2 linked regions of the Cricetulus griseus genome follow. The protein of the gene in region 2 interacts with the protein of the main gene of each other region in a biochemical or structural test. Links are inferred from orthologs where the notes say so. Each region holds a gene or a part of one and is shown on either strand. Other genes may lie near its edges. The genes, in order: Csnk1g1 and Clspn.

Region 1 (3,828 bases), on a different chromosome or scaffold from region 2:
ACACACACACACACACACACACACACACGAGAGAGAGAGAGAGAGAGAGAGAGAGAGAGAGAGAGAGAGAGGAGAGAGAGAGAGAGAGAGAGAGGAGGGAGGGAGAGTTTTTTTTTTTTTTTTTTTTTACAAAATGGAGAGAACAACCAAAATGTTAGGACATGTTAGAGTTGACCTGAAGAACACTTGAACCTCACAAAAGCCCATTCTGGAGATAATGAGATAATTTTAATGGCAAAGGCAGTACATCAAGATGAAGAAGTACTTCACTTATCACACAGAGTAGATGTTCAAAACATACCTTGAAGAATAATAAAGATAACTACACATGTAATGACCCACTGGGCTAAACATTCTATCCAAGTCACATTTTGCCTGAATGTATATCTGTGTATCACATTGTGTTTCCTGGTACCAGAGAGATCAAAACAGAGTATCAGATCTCCTGCAATTAGAGTTACAGATGGTTATGAGCTGCCATGTGGGTGCTGACAATGGAACCTAGTCCTCTGTAAGAGCAGCCAGTGATCTTAACTGCTGAGCCATCTCTTCAGCTCCTTAATCCATATTTTAGTGAAACCTCGTCACTAACACAGGCACAAGCCTGATGTTTTCCTTTTGTCTGCTAATACACAGGGTCATACAAGTGTAAATACAAGTCTCATTATTAAACCTATTCAATTACTACAATCTTGTTGCAATACCTCAAGTTCTTAGCGGCTGGAGAGATGGCTCAGTGGTTAAGAGCCCTGGTTGCTCTTAACCAATCTATATTGGATTCCCTGCACCCACATGGCCGCTCAGAACAGTCTAACTCTACCAGGAGGCTCCACACCCTCTTCTGGCCTAAGGGTACCACAAATGCATGAACACAGACGTATATGCAAACAAAACACTCATGCAATAATAATAATAAAATGAGATCTAAAATAAAATAACCCAAGTTCTTGGGGCTGGAGAGATGGCTCAGAGATTAAGAGCACCGACTGCTCTTCCAGAGGTCCCGAGTTCAATTCCCAGCAACCACATGGTGGCTCACAACCATCTGTTATGAGATCTGGTGCCCTCTTCTGGTGTGCAGATATACATGGAAGCAAAATGTTGTATACATAATAAATAAAAAAAATCTTTAAAATAATAACTCAAGTTCTTAAATTACTGAGGAATGAAGCAGTAGGAAACACAGTTGAAAAAACAAAAACAAACAAAAACCACAGTTGAAAGAATCAAGACTCCATTAGTATTAAGGTATTTGGGAACATCACTAACTTACCATTTCAATCTTTTAAGTATAAAAAAGTCACTTACCTTGTGATACAACAAATGGTACAAGCTGTAGTGCACAATGTAATGCACAATAAAGTGCTATTGGAAAAGAAAGTAGTTCATATGACCTGCCCTTCTAAACACACCTTTGCCCAGATGCGTGTTGATAGACATGTATCGTGCAGTTCCAGTTAAGCTTTTGTGCTCTCTGTAAGGTATGTGTTTTTTGGTTTCAGGATCAATGTATTCCTTGGCCAGTCCAAAATCTATTATGTGTATTACATGTTCTTTCTTATTGCCTTGTCGGCCAATCAAGAAGTTTTCTGGTTTGACATCTCGGTAAATGAGATTCTTTGAGTGTACATACTCCATTCGAGAAAGCTAAAAGAAAGAAAAAAATAATGGAAATACCTTGAAATAAGCATGTTGGGGGAGTGGGTGTGGGGAAACACGATCCAAAATGCCCCCCCACCCCCCGCCCCCATGAGACAGGCTCTCACTATGTAGCTCTGGCTGTCCCAGAACTAACAGGTTTCAAGGATGAGATCAAAGGCACATGCCATTATACCTGGCCCAAAATATTTCCTAAAATTATGCTTGTCTGTCTGTCTGTCTGTCTGCCGGCCCGCCCATCCATCCATCCATCCATCCATCCATCCATCCATCCATCCATGGGCATGGTGTGGTGATCCGAGTATAACTTGCAGAAGTCAGTTCTTTCTACCATGTGGGCCTGAGGACTAAATTTAGGCTGTCGGGCTTGCTTGGTGGCAAGCATCTTTACCTGATGAGCCATTTCACTGCCCCCAAATATTTTTTTCAGTTTTATTTTTTTCCTTCTCATTGTTTTCTGTATCACTATGCTGTCTAGGTTAGGCCTTGAGATCTTGAACTTAAGTAATCTTCTTATCTAGATCTCTTAAGTAGCTGGCACTGTATGTATATATGCCATTGTCTGACTCAGCATAAGGTTTCAGAAAATAAAATTAAAATAAAACTCATCTCTTGGCTGGGTGTGGTGGTGCATGCCTTTAATCCCAGATGGATTTCTATGAATTGCTTTATATTGGAGAGTTCCAGGACAGCCAGGGTTACATAGTAAGGCCCTGTCTCAAAAAAAAAAAAAAAAAAAAAAAAAAAAAAAAAAAAAAAAAAAATCCATCCCTTATTTATCTTGCACTTCACTGACTTACAAACCAAAACTCCATTTTAAGGTTTTGGTTTTTCAAGACAGGGTTTCTCTGTGGCTTTGGAGGCTGTCCTGGAACTAGCTCTTGTAGACCAGGCTGGTCTGGAACTCACAAAGATCAACCTGCCTCTGCCTCCCGAGTGCTGGGATTAAAGGTGTGCGCCACCAACGCCCAGCCATTTTAAGGTTTCTTTTGTTATTTTATTTATTCATCTGCATGTTTACAGTTTACATATACCAGTTGTGTGCATGTGCCCACAAGGCCAGAGGCTGTCAGATTCCCTGGAACTGGAGTTACAGGCAGTGTGTTAGTTGCCTGACGTAGGTGCTGCAAATCAAATTTAGGTTTTCTGCAAGAGCAGTAACTGCTCTTAACTGAAATCTCTAGCACACCCCATTCCTAGTACTTTTATTATAAATATATAACAACTATCAAGATTAGGAGGAAAAAATGAGACAGTACAATTTGGCTAACATGATAATATTTTTGTAACTTGCAAGCATGCACTCTGAGACAGGTATAGCTGCCACTTTACCTCCTGCCCACACTATGTGTCTTCAGGTGCTCAAGACTCTCTAACCCAAATCTTGGTACTACAGAAATACAAAGGACGTGCAGTCTTTATGCTATAGTAACCACAGCTTGAAATAAGTAACTGTAACATTGTCTCAAATTTCATTAAGTAATTCTATCTATAAAGCATCTCTACATAGCAAAAAGGAGACTTAAATATTTAGATTTTGGTCAGTTTTCAAGTGTTTCCAAATTGCTGCTGGATGATGGTGAAACCACCACTACTTTGAATTAAGATGTACCTGAAGGCTGTGGTGGTACACATCCACCTTAGCACTCAGGAGGCTGAAGCAAGAGGATCTAAAGTTCAAAGCCAGTCTAAGCTGGTGAGACCATCTCAACAAAACAAAACAAAAAATAATATAAAACAAAGCAAAAAAACTCAACATTTGGGCTGGAGAGATGGCTCAGAGGTTAAGAGCACTGAGTGCTCTTCCAGAGGTCCTGAGTTCAATTCCCAGAAACCACATGGTGGGCTCACAACCACCTTAAATGAGATCTGGTACCCTCTTCCAGCCTGCAGGCATACATGCAGGCAGAACATTGTATACATAATAAATAAAATCTTAAAAAAAAATCCAACATTTGAATTCTTCCCTTGAGGGCCTAAAAAACTTCTCATAGAGACTGTTCTAACTGCATAAGCTGGAACTAGTATGTAATTTGGCCGCAAAGCTTCTTGGCCAGCCCCAAAGTATATAATATGCCAGGGAATTAAACATCTCAGCCACATGATTTTGAAAACATTAGTGCAGGGGGTAGTACTTTCAATCTTTTCTAGTTTTCAACAGTGAGAGAA
Region 2 (3,828 bases):
ATGTGTCATGATTTCCTTCCTGTTGGGCTGGATGTACACACTTGGAGGATGAGGCAGAAGGATCACCAGTTTGTGGTCAGCCTGAACCAACAGTGAACTCCAGGCCAGTCTGGCCTGGATAGGAAGACCTAGTCTCAGACAACAAAAGCAGATTTCTTCCTTTTAAAGTCATTTAATGTGTATAAGTTGTATTTAGCAGATGTGCTGGCTAGTTTTATGTCAACTTGACACAGCTTTAATCACCAGAGAGGAGTGAGCCTCAATTGAGAAAACGCCTCCATAAGACAGAGCAGTATGTAACCCTGTAGGGCATTTTTTAAATGAACGATTGGGGGGAGGCAGGCAGGGGTGTTGAGAGAGCAGGCCGAGAAAACCATGGGGAACAAGCCAGTAAGCAGCACCCCTCCATGGCCTCTGCATCAGCTCCTGCCTCCAGGTTCCTGCCCTGCTTGAGTTGCGGTCCTGATGTCCTTTGATGATGAACAGTGAGGTGAAGTGTAAGCCAAATGAACCCTCTCCGCCCCCATTTTCTTTTTTGTCATGGTGTTTTATCACAGGGATAATAACCTTAACTAAGATAGCAGACCATTGCCTTTCCCTCTTCATTTTGGCTACTACCAAATAATGTAAAACAAATTAAAAAACCTGTTTTATTCATTTATTTATGAGAAAGGAGTTCATGTAGCTGAGGCTGACCTTAAGCTTTTTTGCCTTTGTTTATTTATACATTTAGTGTGTGTACATGCAACAGCAAGTGTGTCTGTAACTACACACATGCCATTGCCTGCATATACATGCAACATCATGTGTATCTGTAACTACACGCATGCCATTGCCTGCATATACATGCAACATCATGTGTATCTGTAACTACACGCATGCCATTGCCTGCATATACATGCAACAGCATGTGCGTCTGTAACTACACACATGCCATTGCCTGCATATACATGCAAGAGCATGTGCGTCTGTAACTACACGCATGCCATTGCCTGCATATACATGCAAGAGCATGTGCGTCTGTAACTACACGCATGCCATTGCCATAACTACATGCATGCCATTGCCTGCATATAGAGTTCAGAGGACAATGTGTGGGAGTCAGTTCTCTCCTTCTACCAGTGAGACATCAGGGATTGAACCCAGGTCTTTCGGCTTGAAGGCAAGTGCCCTTACCCACTGAGCCATATGCCTGATTCTGAACTTCTGACTCTCTTGCTCCTGTTCCCTGAATACTGGATTCCAGGTATACACCACACCAGGCTGTGTGGTTTTTTGGGGCAGGTCTTTCCCATGTCTCTCACTTGTCCTGGGGCTCTTTATATAGTCCAAGATGATCTTGAACTCCTTCCTGATCCTACTCCCTTTACCACCTAAGTGCTAGAGTTATAGCTGCTTACCACCACACCTGCCCACTTGAATTTTTACTTTTAAGTCTCTGTGTGTATCTCTCATGCTTTTGAGACAAAATTTCAATGTATAGGCTAGGTTGGTCTGGAATTCATGATCCTCCTGTCTCAGTCTCCTCAAGTGCTGAGATTGTAGACATCTTTTGAATCTAAGTGGAATTGCTGGACCAGATGGTAATTCTATTATGAATTGTGAGAAACCATCATATTGTTTTTCCTAGCAGCTCACCAATGGTAAACAGAGATTTTCCTTGTCTTCACCAATACTTAGTTGTTTATATAAAACTGTAGTCATCCTAATGGATGTGGGGCAATGTCTCTGATTTGCCTTAACCAAAGTTATTTAGTCTATTGCTGAACCCAGTGAATGGGATCCTAGGGTTCCTCCCAATCTTTGAGACTCACCTGTCCGTTGGGAAAGAGCCTGAGCAAAGAGCAAGCGCCTCTTCCATAGGATCATCTATGCTGTTCTTCTCCTGGTTGCTCAACTCCAATGGAGCCATAGGGGAGGCATCTACCTCAACAAGGAAAAGATCAATGAGGAAGGAGATGACACCTTTACTCTTCCTGGCCATCTAAAGACCAGCCAGCTCAATTCAGTTCTTAGGTAAAATGTTTAAAAAGTCCACTGATGGGGGAGGTCCTTCTGTGCATGCTTATCTTATTGGTTGCTGAATAAAGCACTGTTGGCCAATAGGGAAGCAAGATAGGTGGGACTAGGAGTTGAGGAGAATTCTGGGAAATGTAGTAAAGAGAAGTCTTGTGATCTAGGCAGGAAATGACATAACAGGCAGACTCAGAATATAAGCAGGGACAAGCAGGAAATCGCTCTCTTCCTCCTCCTCTCTTCTCTCTGGAGCCACCATGTGATCCCGGCAAGAGAAGATGCCTGCTGCTGGCATTCAATAAGATAAGTCTTTATAAAATATATAGAGTAAGAAATCCTAGTCATTGGCCATCAGCACTGTACCTAACATTAATCTCTGTGTGTTATTTTGGGCATCCACATGGTGGCGGGGCTCGGGCGGCTTGGTGGAAAGATTTATCGCTACAGTTCACCATCCATCCATTCTTTCAACAAATCCTCATACTTACTGTGTGCCAAGCCCCTGGAAGGCAGTAATGAACAATATACCCCAATTACCTCATAGAGCCTATGTCCTATTCCAGCACGTAACATTTACTATATACCAGATAAGGTTTTAAGCTTTGTATATAGGTTAAGTTTAAGTTATACATTATGTGGCCGAAGCTAGGGAAGCATTCCTAAGCTGACACTGTCATTCTAAGAAAGCAAGAGCTGTAAAGGTGAGGAACTAGGAATGAATTCCAGCACATGCCTGTTTTCCGTACACTCACTTCAAGGGGCAAGGGCTTCCATCAGGGACACTGATGTAAGCTGTGTGGCTGTGGTAAGCCAAGAACTTTCACTGAATATTTACCTTGGGAAGGAAATTTGCCGGAGCAAAGATTCAGAAGTTCCTCCATGTTTTCTTTTTTGTCACTCCCTGTGGGTTGACATTTCTCTTCAGACTGAGATGTAAACTGTCCAGTACACAAATCCAGCAGCTCATCCATATTGGCATCCATGGCATTCTCATCCATACTGGCCAGTGGCAACTGAGGCTTCAAAGCTTGATAGCGATTCCGGTGATTTCTAATGTTTAAAAATCTACAAGCACAACCAAGTGTCAGAAATGACCCAGAGAAGAGACAAAACCGCCAGTAAAAACTGTCTGATTTCCAACACCAGGGTTAGAAGCTGAACGTGGCCAGCAAGATGGCTGAGTGGGTAAAGGTGCTTGCTGCCAAGCCTGATGATCTGAGTTCAATTCCCAGGATCCACATGGTGGAGGGAACCAACTCCAACAAGTTGTCCTATGATCTTCTCATGTGTATTGTGGCATTTGTATATGTGTATGTGTGCTCACACGTACATGCACACAAGATAAACAAAATGTAATTTTGAAAAATTGTAAAAAGAAAGACAAAAAGAAGTTGGTGTGAATTGTGAATTTCAACTTGATGGGGCTTAGGATCACCATGGAAACAAAGCTGTCTTCAAGGGATCATCTAGGTTAGGTTGACTGAGGTAGGAAGACCCAACCTAACTGTGGGTGGTACTAATCCATGGGCTGGGGTGTCCTATACTGACTGAAAAAGAGAAAAGGAGCTGAATGTAAGCATTCATTGCTTTCTTCTTCCTGACTATGGAGGCAATGTGCCCAGTGCCTTCTGCTCCTGCCACTGTGACTGACCTGCCATAACACAGGGTATCCGCTGGAACCATAAGGCACAGTTACCATTCCTTCTTTGTGATGTTTGTCAGGTTTATCACAGTGATGAGAAAAGTAACCAACATACTGAGCCTCAATCCAGAAAACAAGATCCAAATGTTAGCCTCATGCTAACCTAAAGA

What was found.
Region 1: of the proteins of Clspn (region 2) and Csnk1g1, one has a biochemical effect on the other in vitro, tested with the Homo sapiens proteins (2 studies listed by BioGRID). The link is inferred for Cricetulus griseus from reciprocal best matches to the Homo sapiens genes CLSPN and CSNK1G1.

Annotation. Positions count from the first base shown.
Region 1 is NC_048597.1:177,613,483-177,617,310, reverse strand, and holds part of Csnk1g1 (casein kinase I), read right to left. Parts: intron 1,648-3,828; coding exon 1,413-1,647; intron 1-1,412.
Region 2 is NC_048595.1:26,456,528-26,460,355, forward strand, and holds part of Clspn (claspin), read right to left. Parts: intron 3,082-3,828; coding exon 2,852-3,081; intron 1,924-2,851; coding exon 1,815-1,923; intron 1-1,814.